2 linked regions of the Mytilus edulis genome follow. Each later gene encodes a partner of the first gene's protein in a complex. Links are inferred from orthologs where the notes say so. Each region holds a gene or a part of one and is shown on either strand. Other genes may lie near its edges.

Region 1 (7,836 bases):
GGATCGTAAACTTGGAATTGATAGTTAATAGCAAATACATGTACACTCTGTTTATAGTATATGTGCATGCATGATCATAGTATAAAAAATCAAAGAGCTGAAGAGCTCTGAGGGAAAAGACGGCCATTGTTTCACTTTTTAGGAGGTATCTTTTGATAGTCTACATACAAAGAATGAGCAAAAGAACAGCTAGAACATATAGAAAGGCTAACAATAATGAAACTAATTGTTGTTTATTGTTATTTCATTTCCTTAGTCAAGAATTCATCATAGAGACAATTTGGACCAATGAGATCTGCACCTTCTAAATCAAAACATTTGATTAAAGTTGGGAGTTAATTATCTAAAATTCAATTGAATTTAACAACTAATACAATATATTTTAGAATTTTAATTATGTACAACTGAACGGCAGGCTAAGACCATTCTCAATTTTTTGTGACACTATTCTCAAGAAAGTGAGGACTGAAAAATCTATTCAGTTTTAATTTCCCATTGATAAATTTCCCAGTTACAACTCTCATCACAGGGATACATGTACTTATAAAATCAAATATGATTGATATAAGCTGTGTGAAGTTTGTTTCCAGATCCCACATTTTGATATATCTGTAAAATTCATGAATAAATAGCTTTAAACTACAAAAAGCAATATTTAAAAAAAAATGACCACTACAATAATTATGTTGGTATGCAAAATTATTTTTTAATTGATGACTACTTATCATATATATACTTAATGTGATATTTTTAGTGTTCAGATACATTAACTTTCATTTTAGTGGGTAATTACTCATCAATTGAGGTGCTCCTTGATTGGAGAAAGATTCTAAAAACATAACTTTACAGAAAGAATGAAAACTACAGTTGCTCTCCCCAATCTCAATAGGTATAAGCTACAAAAAGCAACATTTAATTTTTTTAATTTTTTTTTTAACCATTTCAATAATTATGTTGGTACACAAATTTTTTTTTATATAGAAGACTACTTATCATATACTAAATGTCACATTTTAATTAAGTGTTCAGAAACATTTACTTTGATTTTAGTGTATAATTACTCATCAATGGAGGTGCTCCTGAATAGGAGGAAGATTCTAAAAACAGAACTTTACAGAAACAATGAAAACTGTCGTTTCTCTCCCCAAACTCATGTATCCCCATTGACATTGTTTACCGCGAATGTTAACTTACAAATTATCTGATTATAGACTCAGATTAAAGCATTGCATGTTGGTGTGTGAATGATCTACACTACAGCAAATATCATTAGGTTTACATTTAACAAATACGGATTTTAAATTAGTATACAAATACTGTGACTGGTTTTTATAATGAATAAAGGATATCCCTGTGTGGCATTCCAACAATGACGTCACTAGGTTAGATATATTTAGAATATTTCGTAATACTGATTTTTCCGGACTGTAAAAGAAACGTATATAGTGTAAGGGAAAGCTCAATATACGATAATTTCACGAGAAACAGAAGGGAAATGTGTAAAAAATGTATTTAAAGTCAATCTGTTCTCTTTGTCATCAATTTCAGTATGACATTTTGAGGGGGTTTCCAAACTATCAAAACAAAATGATTGACGTGAGGGAATGATACTCTGGCCAACCCCATTAGGGAATTGACGGCTTGAAGCCGTCTTTCCCCAAAAACGAGATAATAATTGTCCTGTCCCTAAATGGAAGTCTTTGGTTGTTCTCCCAAAATAACACAACCTGAATAATCATAAGCGAGGATAATCAAGATTATAAATTGATTAGTTGTTGGTTGTTCAATGTCAAGTGGCAATTATGTCATGCCTGTTTACATCTAGATAGATAAACAATATTAAAAATACAATAGGTACATTTTGTACATAGTAGAATCTGTAAGCGAAGGAAATTTTGACTCCCACTGGAAAATGAAGATATATTGGATAAAGACAGAAATTTTACATTTTAACAGGCCACCTATAGACCCCTAAAGTTGTTGTCAGGGTTCTTAATGTGCAGAGAGCATGACACTCCAAAGATTCCAGAAGACAAAGATGTACATTGAGGGATTTTAAAAAGTGTTTTTTTACATTTTTAATCTTTATTTCCCATAATCATGATAATACAAATATAATAAAATTAATAGTTCATTTGCAAGTTACACACTTTTTAAGCAAATTACTTCCCTTTGTCAATCGTTGACTGGTTCCATACCAGACAAAATTGGCATTTTCCAATGCAAAGCATGATGAATTGAAAGTGAAGAATCATCAGTTTAACTAATTTTTCATTAAAAATAATTTCTGATGTCATAAGTATTTAGCTGAACAACAAATTAATCATTAATGTAATTAAAAGATTTTAAAACCTTATACAATGTAGATTACTCACATTACGCACAGGTAAATTTGCTCTTTCTACTAGCTCTCCGTTGTAAATAAAAATTAATGTCCCTAATAAGGGAGGCAACCAAAATAGGGATCTCTTATTACAGGGTCAATTACGGGAATTGGCAAATAGCCTATTGAATATGTAAACATGAAATTGCATGTTAAATATAATACCCCTAAGTCTGACTATATAGGGTTTTTATTTCTACAAGTTATTGTATACCACCCTATATTATGTATATGATTTTGTTTCCATTATTTTAATATTTCAATTATAAAATATTCAATACTGTCATTATACACAAGTGAGTTAAAATACTTCAAAAATCAAAGAGCTGATAGCTCTGAGGTGGAAGAAGGTGAATAAAAGGTAACTTGAATTACCATAAAAGCATCCCCACTAACCCAGCCTGCTTTGTTTCATAATCGTTATGATGTATTTTTTTTCTTCAAACAAGAATGTGTCATAAGTATAAAAAAGAAGATGTGATATGATTGCCAATGAGACAACTATCCACAAAAGATAGTCATAAGTACATGGATTTCCCATCCGTACAATCATTTTCTATGTTCAGTCAAACCTGTTTGTTGGTCTTTGTGAAAAAAAAAATAGTACATTGTACATTAAAAAATTTAATTGAATACAAAAATAATGTACATGTATTATGTCAATAAATTAGTGAAAACAAGAATGTGTCCTCAGTACACGAATGCCCCACTCGCACTTTCATTTTCTATGTTCAGTGGACCGTGACATTGGGATAAAAACTCTAATTTGGCATTAAAATTAGAAAGATCATATCATAGGGAACATGTGTACTAAGTTTGAAGTTGATTGGACTTCAAATTCATCAAAAACTACCTTGACCAAAAACTTTAACCTGAAGCGGGACAGACGGACTAACGGACGGACGAACGAACGGACGCACAGACCAGAAAACATAATGCCCCTCTACTATCGTAGGTGGGGCATAAAAATACTATTCAGTATTATCTTTATGGTAGTACTGCATCATTGAATTTTGTCAATCAGCCATGCTTTTATCCTTAAGCTGTGTAAGAACACTCTTTGCTGCAGTGCCATGTTCACGATTTTACAAAATGAAAACAACAAAGTTCAAAATCTACATATGTAGCATGTTAGAATAATCTTCAGAGAAAATGTTTTTGATATGCTTATTAATTTGATCATTAGAAACACAGAATTTGATTGGCTGAACACGATTGTTTTACCTTGGGAACAAAATAAGGAACAGATGATTTTCACTAAATCGTGTTTGAGAGTGTTTTTAAACGATTTTTAATATTTTTTAATAAATGCAAGGACATATTATAAAACGTGTCATGAATCGGAAGTTGTTATGAAATTGTAATGCACAGAAATGGAGGCGGCATACAGAGGTTGTAACGGTTGTAAAGTCGACACCATAGGTCTTCAGAAGACTTGAAGTCTTCTTCCACCAAAAATCAGCAGGATGATGTAGAAAAGATTATTTTAATTAAACACGTTTAAACAAATTAACTATACAGCTTGGCAAAATATACTCAAGGGCAAAGACGCTAATTCATGTTTATACTGTTTTTCTATACATGTAGGTACATGTACAAAATGTACATGTATACGTAATATAAATATATTTGTACCAAACAGTCCATTATCATATTAAGTTATTTTGTGTTTGGATTTATATTTTATAAAGTCCTTACTATACCTGAGGATGTGTGTACAAATTGTGTATTAGGACTAAGGTGTCATTGTGCCTTTTGAGTGGTACATGTACATTTTTACTTTTTGTTTGTGGACATGCGAGTCACAGCTGTTGATTGTTTATTTATTAGTAAGTATCAGCTGGACCATGTACAATACACAATATAGAACACATAGCAGTAAATTTTCAGATCTATTAGACACAAAAAAGATTCCATGATAAATTGAAAAAAAGAGCTATTGTGATTCATATATGGGGATATTATTTTAAGGATCTTCAACAACATGTTAAAACTTAAAGGATACTCAAAGTTAACCAATAAAAGTCATTCAGACTAGATTATAAATAAGTGATGTAATTAGATGTTCTTTCGCTTTCCAAAGTAAAATGCATACTCTCATTCTTGCAGAAAAAAGAAATATATATGTAGATATTATGTCAACATCTCAAAATCATTTCGTCTGATCAAAACAAACGTCCACGTCATTTGCATGTTTGATTAAAGACGAAAAATAATGAAGCACTTTTCGGACAAAGACTTTTTTGACGATTCGCCTATTTCTTCACGCTTTTCTTGATTTTTTTAGACTAAAGACTAAAGATTTTTTGACGAGGATAATTTTTTCTGAAAGGGATATATTTGTTTGTACAGACTTATATGATTCTGATCAAATATTTTAATTCAAAAATTCACTTCAGGCTGAAAATATCACTTCCGGTTTAAGGGGGTCGGTGCCAAAACAAAAACCGATTTCCAGCAAATATTTGCAATGAATATGGCACAACAGCAGGTAATGATTTGCTTTGAACACGAAGAATCCAATAAAACCGTGATTGTCTTTTCGTCTGCAAGATTTGACGCCATAAACATGAAATAATTAGCCCTTTACACTTTCAAAATACAAAAATGATTCAACCAAAGAAACCTTTATACATTTTGTAGAATCTTCATAAAGTTTACAGAAAAAGACAGGACACTAACTATAGAAGACAAAAGTCATTGAGGTGTATTTTAAACAATATGAAAAGAGTTAGTTTATAAGCTCTGAAATCAGCCATTTACAAATAAAATGTGAAATTGTATAATTTTTTTATGGGGTACTAATGAACATTATGATTTATTGTCAACCCCTGTTTTTTTGCTACCGCTATCTTTGTCAGTTTCTGTATCTGTATGGTAACGTCCTAGCTACCAATTCTGGCTTTAATACAACGGGGTGAAGGTGCCATCTGTTTACTGATGTTTCGAGAGAGCAGATTTAAAGCTCTCCATGCTTGTTTCGCACACAATATAGTGTCTTCAAGATGGTTCTAATTAATAACTGGACAAAAAGAATGAGTTTGAGTATTGTTGAGTTTTACTGATGGGAATGTCAAAGCACCTAGTATTGTTCCTCTCTTGTTTTTCCACTATGTTTGTTGCTTTGTAATTCTCAAACTTTTCCGCTGTGATGGTTCGTCTTGGTCTGGCTGATTTTAAAAAGTCGTCTAGATCGATAGCAGGTACCAATCCCTCAACCACCTTGTACAAAAATATAAGTTTTTGGCTAGTGCGTCTGGCTTTTAGTTCTTGAAGTTCCAGTTTTGCGAGCATGTTTGTTATGCAGCCATCTTCTCTTGTTTTGTAGTCCCCTGTTAAAAAGCGTGTTGCTTGTCGTTGTATTCCCTCTAGCTTGTTTGAATCTACTGTACTGTAGTTTATTTTTCGATCTTTAAGTTTGACTGTCCCTCTGGTATCTTTCGTCCCTATTTTATCGTCAAAGGAGCCTTAATAATTATTGTCATTCATCAAATCTCATTATGAAGCTGCCATAAAAAGAGGGACGAAAGATACCAGAGGGACAGTCAAACTCATGAATCGAAAAATAAACTGACAAGGTCATGGCTTAAAATTAAAAATAACAAACAGACAAACAATAGTACACATGACACAACATAGAAAACCAAAGCATAAGCAACACGAACCCCAACAAAAACTAGGCATGCTAGGGATGATCTCAGGTGCTTCAGAAGGGTAAGCAGATCCTGGAGTAAAATGTTTATCTTTTACGTTATTTTAAATCAAAATAATTTACCATCATTCATCATGTGGGATACCCAATTTCCTATCCTCTTCTTGTAAGGTCTAAAAAAAATATTACATGTTCAAAAAAATCATTGTTTGTACCTGTTTGTGTTATTAGCCTCCCTTTAATCAGTCTTCACGCTGAGTGGCAGCCCAGGCTGCCAAGGCTTGTTAAATTGCTCTCGGGCCTGTAAAAATCATATCTACAGGCCAACAGAATCTAACTAAAAATTTTCAAAAATTGAGCTCCGGGCCTGTAGTTTTAATATTTCATTGTAAAGACTGCCTTTAATGAAAGAACGTCTTTAGAAAATTTACATATATGTAAACATATCATCAAATAAAATTGAAATACTTTAACATTTAATATATTCATGATATTAGTTTCAGTCGACTTTAACATGTTTAACTTGGCTATATTTATTAGTGTATGCAAAGGCAAAGCTGTACCAAATACATGTACATCTACAATTACTACTAACATTACAATTGATCACATTCTACATCAAATGACAGAAAAAAGATAGGAGAAAGACACCAAAAGGACATTCAAACTCATGGCATCCTTCAAATTATTGCCAATATATTGTGTCCTTTATAATAATGCCAAGGGTAATTTTGCTAAAACTCCACTATATCTTTTTTTTCATAGTTATTATAGCTGAATTAAAAAAATTTATATCTGTTCTGTTGTAGGCCAGAATGATGACTTCAACAGGACCTGTCACCATACCAACCACCATCCCCCCAGTAGACAGAGACAAGATTTATCAGTGGATTATACAATTAACTAGTCCAGACACCAGAGAAAATGCTCTGCAAGAACTGAGGTGAGTAAAATTTATAATAATATCAATATTGACTCTAATACTGACTTAAATAACAATGCTTTCAGCTGTCATCTCTGAAATTTCATCTTCTTTATTTTACTTTCAACAACATCATGAACATAACCTATTGTTTTTTAAGAAAAAAATTGTGGCAACTCAAGATATTTTGGACATTTACCGTATATGTATATATCGGCTGATGTCTGCTCTATGGTCGGATTGTTGTCTCTTTGACACATTCCCCATTTCCATTCTCAATTTTATTTATTATTCAATGCCTTATTTTTGTTATAACTTTAACCTGTAGAAATCCCTAAAGAAAGATGAAGAGCTGTGATTCACAATAAATTCATTACCTTTGTTAACCCTTTAATCTAAAGTTTTATATTTTTTACAGTAAAAAGAGGGAAGTTGTACCAGATCTGGCACCTATGTTGTGGCATTCCTTTGGAACAGTGGCAGCACTACTTCAAGAAATTGTTAACATCTATCCAACAATAAATCCACCACACTTAACGGTAAATATATATATACCGTAGCATACTGTGGGTTTTATAATTTGTGGAAAACCAATTAACGTGGATTTTGTTAGTGTAGATTACCCACAAGCTTAATGTTCAACGAGGTAAAAAAAAAATATAGGTTGGCAAGCAGATTTTGAAAAAAACATGAAATTAAATAGCATTGAAAATACAAGTTTTCATCAATCCTAGAAAAATTGTTATCCACAAATATAAATGAATCAATAGTAAATGATTTTGAATATTTTGTTTCCTTAAATAATGTTTTGCAGTATTTGGTTCACAGTTAGGGTAGTTGAGTACTAGCAGTAACTAACTATATACATTGTATTAGTTT
Region 2 (7,712 bases), on another chromosome or scaffold:
TGTGGATTCATTATTGTTCGTGGATCACCATTTTTTGTGGATTTCATGTGTAAAGGAGTTTTAGGAATTTAAATATTAAAGAACTAATTTTCTTATGGCTTGTATGCTGACTTTGACAAAAACATAAAATTGATTTTCCCAATTATACAATTATTTCTCAATTATACAATTATTTCCCAATTATACAATTATTTCTCAATTATACAATTATTTCCCAATTATACAATTATTTCTCAATCCACCTAAACTTGTACCAAGGGTCCAAATTTCACAATATGAATTACTGCGGATTCATTATTTTTTGTGGGGTAACAATTTTCATTGATTTAGTGGGTACAGATAAACCATGGATTGAAATGATCACTGAATTACACATTTTCTAAAAGGTTGTATGCAGACATTGGCCAAACCAAGAAATCAAATATCCACAAAAATGCAAGTTTTGCTCAATCCACAAAATTTGGTGCCCACGAAAATAAATGAATCCACAGTATTTGTATATGTCTTTAGTATATCTTACTCTTCTGCATCATAAAATGTATCAGCTTTCTTTATCTGAGTTACTATTGGTCGTACCATTTCCTTCTGCTGTTCTTTCTTTGATTCTTCTGCTTCTATTTTCTGTTTAGTGTTATGATAAAAGATGGCTGACATGTACTGGGTTCCGTGAGATGAAGTAGGATTGTGGAATGACCAGAATTTATTCAGCAGGTCACCATAGCTTATTTTACTGGGATCATACTCTAAGCTGATACTCTCTGTATGATCTCCACTACAAAATAGTTTACAGTTGAAATCAGTTCATTACAATTTGAATGTAGTATATATAAAATTTAACATTTTGAGCATAATATTCTCCCTATCTTACCTACATTGTATCATTCATTCATTTACATGTCTTTATGACCTTACCAATCTAAATTAAATGAATCTACAGTTAAAACATATTATTCATTTCTGGCAAAATTAAATGATAAAATATAAGAACATGCAACTGTTTTTCAGAGTAAAAGTTATTCCTATTTTCCCACAAATTGTAAACCAACTAGTTTTTGTGTGCAATTTATTTTAGAGTATAAAACTATTGCAAATATATAAATTGTCTTGAATATGAAAAATTGGATTTTGGTTTACTTAACTACGTAATGAAATTAAATCGCTGCGAAATTGGCTAGAATAGGCAGAACGAGAAATAAAATATTCACAAACATAAGTTGGTTTACAGCATGTTTCAAGAAATTTTAATGAACAGATTAGAATATATTTGTTGTTATCTATACAAAGGTAAATATCATTTAGAGAATAAACCAAAAACATATAAAATTCAAAATTTAACACTCATTTGTTGAAACCAAGTGATAAAATAAAGCAAGTGTTATTCTTTTCCATAACATAGTGTGCAGCAGGCAACTGCTAACCGTTTTTGTGCTATATGAGTTATGAATGTCACAGTAACATATAAAGCCTGCATAAGGCATCATAAGAATAAATTTGACCAAATAAATTATAACTCACATATCTTTTAAGCTGTAATCAAGGTAATATAATAAAAATTTATAACAGACTAATCCTTTATCAGATCAATATAATGTCTTACATGTTACGATAGGTAGCATTCTTGGTGGCTCCACCTGTGAATCCCACTTTGGTTCTGACCACACCAGGTAGACATCCAAACTGGGCCTCAGGGAACCAGAATCAGCTCAGGGCAAAAGTTGCCTTACATAACCTCCCTTCTTCTAGTGGCATAGTGAAGATACTCTACAAATATAAAACCTTTGTATTCTCTAGATAAATCATTTAGGCCATTGTGATTGAGGAGTGGTTCTGAAAAATGCTCACTACGTCATAAAGTGTAAATATACTTTAAAATAATGGTGCTTCACCCAAGAAGTACTCTTCAATGGTTATCTTTTGTCATTTGTGAGACTTGGTGTTGTCTGTTGATGGCAGATTTTTTTTATAGTTAAATTTGTTCAAAGTTTTTTATACTCTTGATAATTTTGAACCTAACAAATGGTATGACATGTAAAAGTTTAAACAAATGGTACTAATACAAATGTAGCTTTAACAAACAGAGTTTCACCCTGATTTTATACTTTGACATATACAATGTATATACATATCATCGAGTAATGTGTTTTTGGACTAATAACAATTTTCACTTCTCACGGTTTTCAGTGGAGTTTTTATTCAGGTGTGTACTCAAAATTTTAAAAACATGTTCTATCGAATGTTTGTAGATATCTAGATTTATTTGTCAAGGCTAACTATGACTTTTTACTAATTCTGATTATTTTGCGATTTTCGTATGTCAAAAAACAGTGTCATATGTTTTCATATGAAGAAAAAACGGAATCAGTTCACAAACAGGAAATGACTATCAAATCCAGAAATGAGTAATTTATAAAGTTGTGGTTCTGGTGATTGCTTAACTCATAAAAAAGTTATTTAATTCTTTTCAGTATTAAAACTAAATAGTAAATAGTTTTTGGTTGATGTTTCATGCGCTGAAATTCTTACATTTTGATTTTTTTCAGATTGGCACTGGGTTTCTACAAAAGACCTTATTTCTGAAGTTTTAAAATTAGTGATTAAATGTAAAAAGCTAGGACTGTTTTTATCATTATATATTAAGGTTGTATAAAAAGAATTGTCAATAGAATGTTGAATGAATGGAGTTTGAACAATCCGATTTTATGTAAGAACCCAGTTAATCTTAACTAGCTGGTTTGTCACAAAAACTACAGAAAACATACATGACAGTCGCATGTCTTGAAGATGCAGTGTTTGACAGACAACCAACATAGCTGTACTTCATGTAACCATTCTGAGTTTTTCTCAACAACTATTCTGGTGATGCATATTTTTGACAGTAAAAAAAAATGGCTGAAACAGGTAAGTTTTACTAAATTTGTTCTAACATATTTTAACACGATTTTGAATATGATTTAAAATTGTGAAGTTGTAGTGTGGTTGTTGTTCCAAATATAGAAACCGAAAAACAAGTCACAAGCCTCCTCTTTTGTGAGAAAAATTTGGTTGATCATATTGGGAATCACTGAAGCATGACTGAAACCCCCCCCCCCCAAATTATGCATATTTTCCCAATAAAAAAGGGTAGAGGTTGTTTTGAAAAATGCCAACAATATCACTGAGAATTTTATGAACTACTGGACCGCAAACTTTCCATGAAGTAAATGAATGCTATTTGCAAAATTGTAAAGATCAAAGAGGAGAACAGAAGATCAAGGCAAAAAGTGTGAAGCATATCTGTACCATAATTCAGTGGCCATTTTAAATGGGGGGTTCCTAACTTTGGACAAAAGGGGGGGGTTCCAACTATATGGTGGGTCTCATTGGGGTCTAAGCGTGACGCGGGATTGCCGATTTTTCGTAAGCGTGAAAGTCAAATTATTGTGTCGTGAAAACGGGAAATGAGGTCTTGCGGGACCCGGGAAATGACAAAAAAATTAGAATTGCTTACGTACATAGTGTAAGCGGGATACAGGAATCTGACAAAACAGTAAGCGGGATCCGAGATCGGAACCCCCCTATATGTTCCCATTCGAATGCATTGATCGGCCAAAAAAGGGGGGTTCCAACACCGGAACCCCCCTGGATCCGCCACTGTATAATCTTCTTTATTCGTCTTGTCACAGAATGCTTGAAATGAGTTAGCCCATATTACATTTATGATTAGCGTCATATTCTTGTTTACCTATCTGAACTATAAATGGCTGTGTTTATATAATATCATTGTTGTCTGTTATGTCTGTTATTATTTGACCTAAACTTAGGCTAAAGAAATAAATCCATAATGACAATTATAATATAAAATTGAGGTTCTACCTGTTATACCCTTTAGATATTGTTTTTAGGTATACACTGTAACTTTTAGATGTCAAATTGTTTTATAGGTATACACTGTATTAACTTTTAGATGTCAAATTTCAGTAAATCTGTTATCAATTCATAATTTAAAGGAAAATAGTAAATTTAATAATCCAGGAACCAGTTCCCAACAAGATTAGCCTAAATTAATGAAATATTATTATATTAATTTTGAAGACAAAATACATCTATAGTTAATATTGTATTGCTTGTATTATTAAAAATACTTTTGGATTTCATCTTTACCTCTAATGTAGTTAAGAAAAGTATTGAGTATTATTTCTTCAATCTATGATTAAAGTGGAGTCAGATATAAAATCATGAAATTACACTTTTCCCTCAGACAAGATGGATGCCTGCTGAGTCCAGGCCCAGGTCGGAATTTGAAAACAACAAACAGCAGGGTAACATAAATTTTGTATCCTCTGAAATAAATTTGAAATTATTAACATAAATAATATGTATGACTGGTTCAAGAGTAAATCCATGTAACATGTTGAAATGACATAATTCAAATGATCAAATTATTTCCGTCGTGACCTCAGGCTCAGTAAATAATTTATTTCTGGTTAAATCGCACCCGGTATAGTCAAATCGGCACCGACGGCAATAGTTGTACTGATTTCGACACCCACGTTAAATATGTTGAATATTTAAACTTTATTGTCGAGCCTGTGAATTTAGTTGCAAAAGAGACTGGCACACATTCATGACATAATTTCTGTGGTCATTAATGTTGACAGGCGGTATCAGGTCCGTTCGCACCCAATACATTTTGACACTCTTCACCTTCACACCACACATGTTTGTCCCGTTATAGATAGTGTACCTTCAAGCTTCTTTTAAAATGAAAATAAATGCCCTGCATCTTTACCTGTTAACTGATTTGAGATGTAAACAAACACAAAAATAAAGCATTGTCATCATGGTCATAATCTCTCTTCATTTAGAAACCATGATTTTTTTCATAGCAATGCACTAACCAAAACATGATTAAGATTTATGTTCAACACAAAACAAAGACTGACAGATGTCAGAATCTCACTTTATTTAGGAACCATTAAAAAAATATATTTATAGCAATGCACTTACCAAAACTCGTTTACAAAATAATTTAAACACAAAACTAATAAAAATTGGTTGCTAAGGTCTAGGGTGCAAAAGTGAAAGGAGGCTCACAGCAATGGGCGTGAACGGCCCCAGATTTATTGGAGGCGGCGTCCAAATATGTAAAAGTTTTTGAAATTTAAATTGAATTCTAGAAGTTTCATTTATATATTGGTTTGTCAGATTTTGATATTGATATATTTGTAAGTGATAAAAAATAAGTTATCTTTATTTTTTATATCAGGTTCATTTACAAGTAAGTAATGGCATCACAAGAAAACAAAGATGATTCTCCCCAAGAGACTGTAGATATTCCACCACCTATACCTTCAGTCACAGAACCTCAGAAACAGATAGCCAGCCAAGCTCTACAGGAATTTGAAAAGAAGAACTATGGTGCCTGTTGTAATCTTACACACAAACTTTTTGTTGAACGTTCAATGGATCCTAAAGTGGTCCACAACAAAGCAGTAGCTGAATTTTATCAAAGTGGATTCTTGACTACAGATGAATTTAGACAGAGCCTCGATAAAGTTTGCCAGATGGTATGATTTAATTTCAAATATGTAAATTAAAAGTGTTATGTTATTGGGAACCGTTGCAGTGGTTTTGAGCAATTATGCTTCCCTTGAGTACTAGAGGTTGTAGTTTTCAACTTCTGGCCAGGTCAATCCAGAGACTTTAACTTGGTATTTGCTTTTCCACTAAGCATGCAGCATTTCATGGTTAGCAAACATTACTGCTTGGCTCAAGATTCATAATAATATATATGAACTGCTGAACTAGCTCATTAAAAATTGGGTTTAAAGATTTAAAAGTGCATGCAGTGTTGTATTTATTTATCTATTTATTGTGAACAGAGATAATCATAAATCTCTAATTATTGTTCAGAGAAATATTATAGGCTATACATGCTATAGCTGTAGTCTCTTATAATAAGGATATCAAGAGAATATATTTGGCAAATATTTCCCTGTTTTTAAACTGTTAAAAAGGATTGTTTGTTTTTTTTTAAACTGTAAATGTGGCTGGTACTGTATACTGAATCAAGTAATAACATCTGCCAGCTTGTCTCTTCTACAATGAAAATTATTGTAAATAAATGTGTGTGTGGACTTCAGGATATCATACTAATGAAATATATTAATTATTGGCTGATAATTAAGTTTGCTGATTACTTTGTCCGATGCCTCCTAAAGGAAATGTTACATTGGCGGTCATTCTCCATCCTGGTCTTTTTAGTAATCACATAGGAAGTTATTTCTAAAGCATTTTGTAGAAATCACCCAGGAACATAGTTATGGGTGTCTTGATGATGATATATTGCTATATTATAACTTTGTAGTAATATACTTGAATTTTTATTTTCTCAGGCTAACATCAGCATGGATAACAGTGACAGTTTAGAAGATGTGGATCATAGTGTATTGTATTTTAACCAAGCCGTTATATTTTACCATCTCAGACAGTATAAAGCAGCCACAAAAGTCCTTGACAAACTCTTTCAGTTTATCGAACCTATAGGTATTATGTACACCATAGTGTATTGTACTTTATCCATGACCATATGTGTAATGTAAATTAATCACTGATTTTAACATTAAAAGTTGATTTTCATCATTGTTCCTCTACTATCAGTCAAATTGCTTTTATTAAGGTTATTATTTGACAATGTTTGAGTTGATTTTGGTATAACTTATTTTTGGATGTAAACACATCTTCTGATTGGCAGACGTTGTTATGTTTATCAGCTCATAGACATAATTTTGTCATGTGACCATGACATCATCACGTTTTTCCATGATTTACTCCGGTTTGATATGGAAATTAGAATTAACTTATAAGAAATGACTGTAATATTTTTTTTGTCTTCGAAATAACATAAATGTGGTGCACACTTTAAAAAAACAACACTACAGGGGTTATTCAGTGTGACCACTATTTGATGTTATATCTTTAGATTTATTGATTCATACTGAATTTAACACCCAAGTAAATTTTCCAATACCTCCTAAACATATCTATCCTATTTTTAATATATATTAATTCCATTTTGATAAGTTTTTATTTTTACAGTTATCATGCTTGAGGACAAGTTGAACTGTGTTATAGTAGATTACTTATGTTTTTAATGGTCAAACGCTTATTGTTACAAAAACTAACTGTCTATTTGTTTATTTTCAGAAGAAAATTTGGCAAAGAAAGCAATAATGTTACTTGTTGAACTATATCTGTGTACTTTTCAAGTAAGTCACTATATCACATTGATTCATTAGACAGTTTATGCATTGATCTTCAAATGAGCTCAATTCAGGAAAATTTTTGGCTTTATTTGTCCAGTCTGTGAATGTAAAATAAGAAGATGTGGTATGATTGCCAATGAGACAAATCTCCACAAGGGACCAAATGAAACAGAAATTAACAACATCGGGTCACCGTATGGCCTTCAACAATGAGCAAAGACCATACCGCATAGTCAGCTATAAAAGGCCCTGAAAGGACTAATGTAAACAATTCAAATGAGAAAACTAGCAGCCTAATTTATGTACATACAATGAAGGAAAAACAAATATGTGACACATCAACAAAAGACAACCACAGAATTACAGGCTCCTGACTTGGGACAGGCACACTCATACAGAATGTGGCGGGGTTTAACATTTAAGCGGGATCCCAACCCTCCCTTAACTTGGGATAGTGGTATAACAGTA

The links. The genes of interacting proteins can lie anywhere in the genome.
Region 2: CCR4-NOT transcription complex subunit 9-like (region 1) and CCR4-NOT transcription complex subunit 10-like share a complex: the UniProt entries of both Homo sapiens proteins name them as parts of the CCR4-NOT complex. The link is inferred for Mytilus edulis from reciprocal best matches to the Homo sapiens genes CNOT9 and CNOT10.

Annotation. Positions count from the first base shown.
Region 1 is NC_092345.1:20,339,484-20,347,319, reverse strand, and holds the start of CCR4-NOT transcription complex subunit 9-like, read left to right. Parts: upstream 1-4,565; 5' UTR 4,566-4,853; coding exon 4,854-4,874; intron 4,875-6,844; coding exon 6,845-6,978; intron 6,979-7,375; coding exon 7,376-7,496; intron 7,497-7,836. UniProt on the Homo sapiens protein: Component of the CCR4-NOT complex which is one of the major cellular mRNA deadenylases and is linked to various cellular processes including bulk mRNA degradation, miRNA-mediated repression, translational repression during translational initiation and general transcription regulation.
Region 2 is NC_092348.1:14,910,316-14,918,027, reverse strand, and holds the start of CCR4-NOT transcription complex subunit 10-like, read left to right. Parts: upstream 1-4,214; 5' UTR 4,215-4,298; intron 4,299-5,245; 5' UTR 5,246-5,264; coding exon 5,265-5,546; intron 5,547-6,374; coding exon 6,375-6,525; intron 6,526-7,185; coding exon 7,186-7,247; intron 7,248-7,712. Other genes in the region: peptide methionine sulfoxide reductase-like, read right to left, coding at 521-654. UniProt on the Homo sapiens protein: Component of the CCR4-NOT complex which is one of the major cellular mRNA deadenylases and is linked to various cellular processes including bulk mRNA degradation, miRNA-mediated repression, translational repression during translational initiation and general transcription regulation.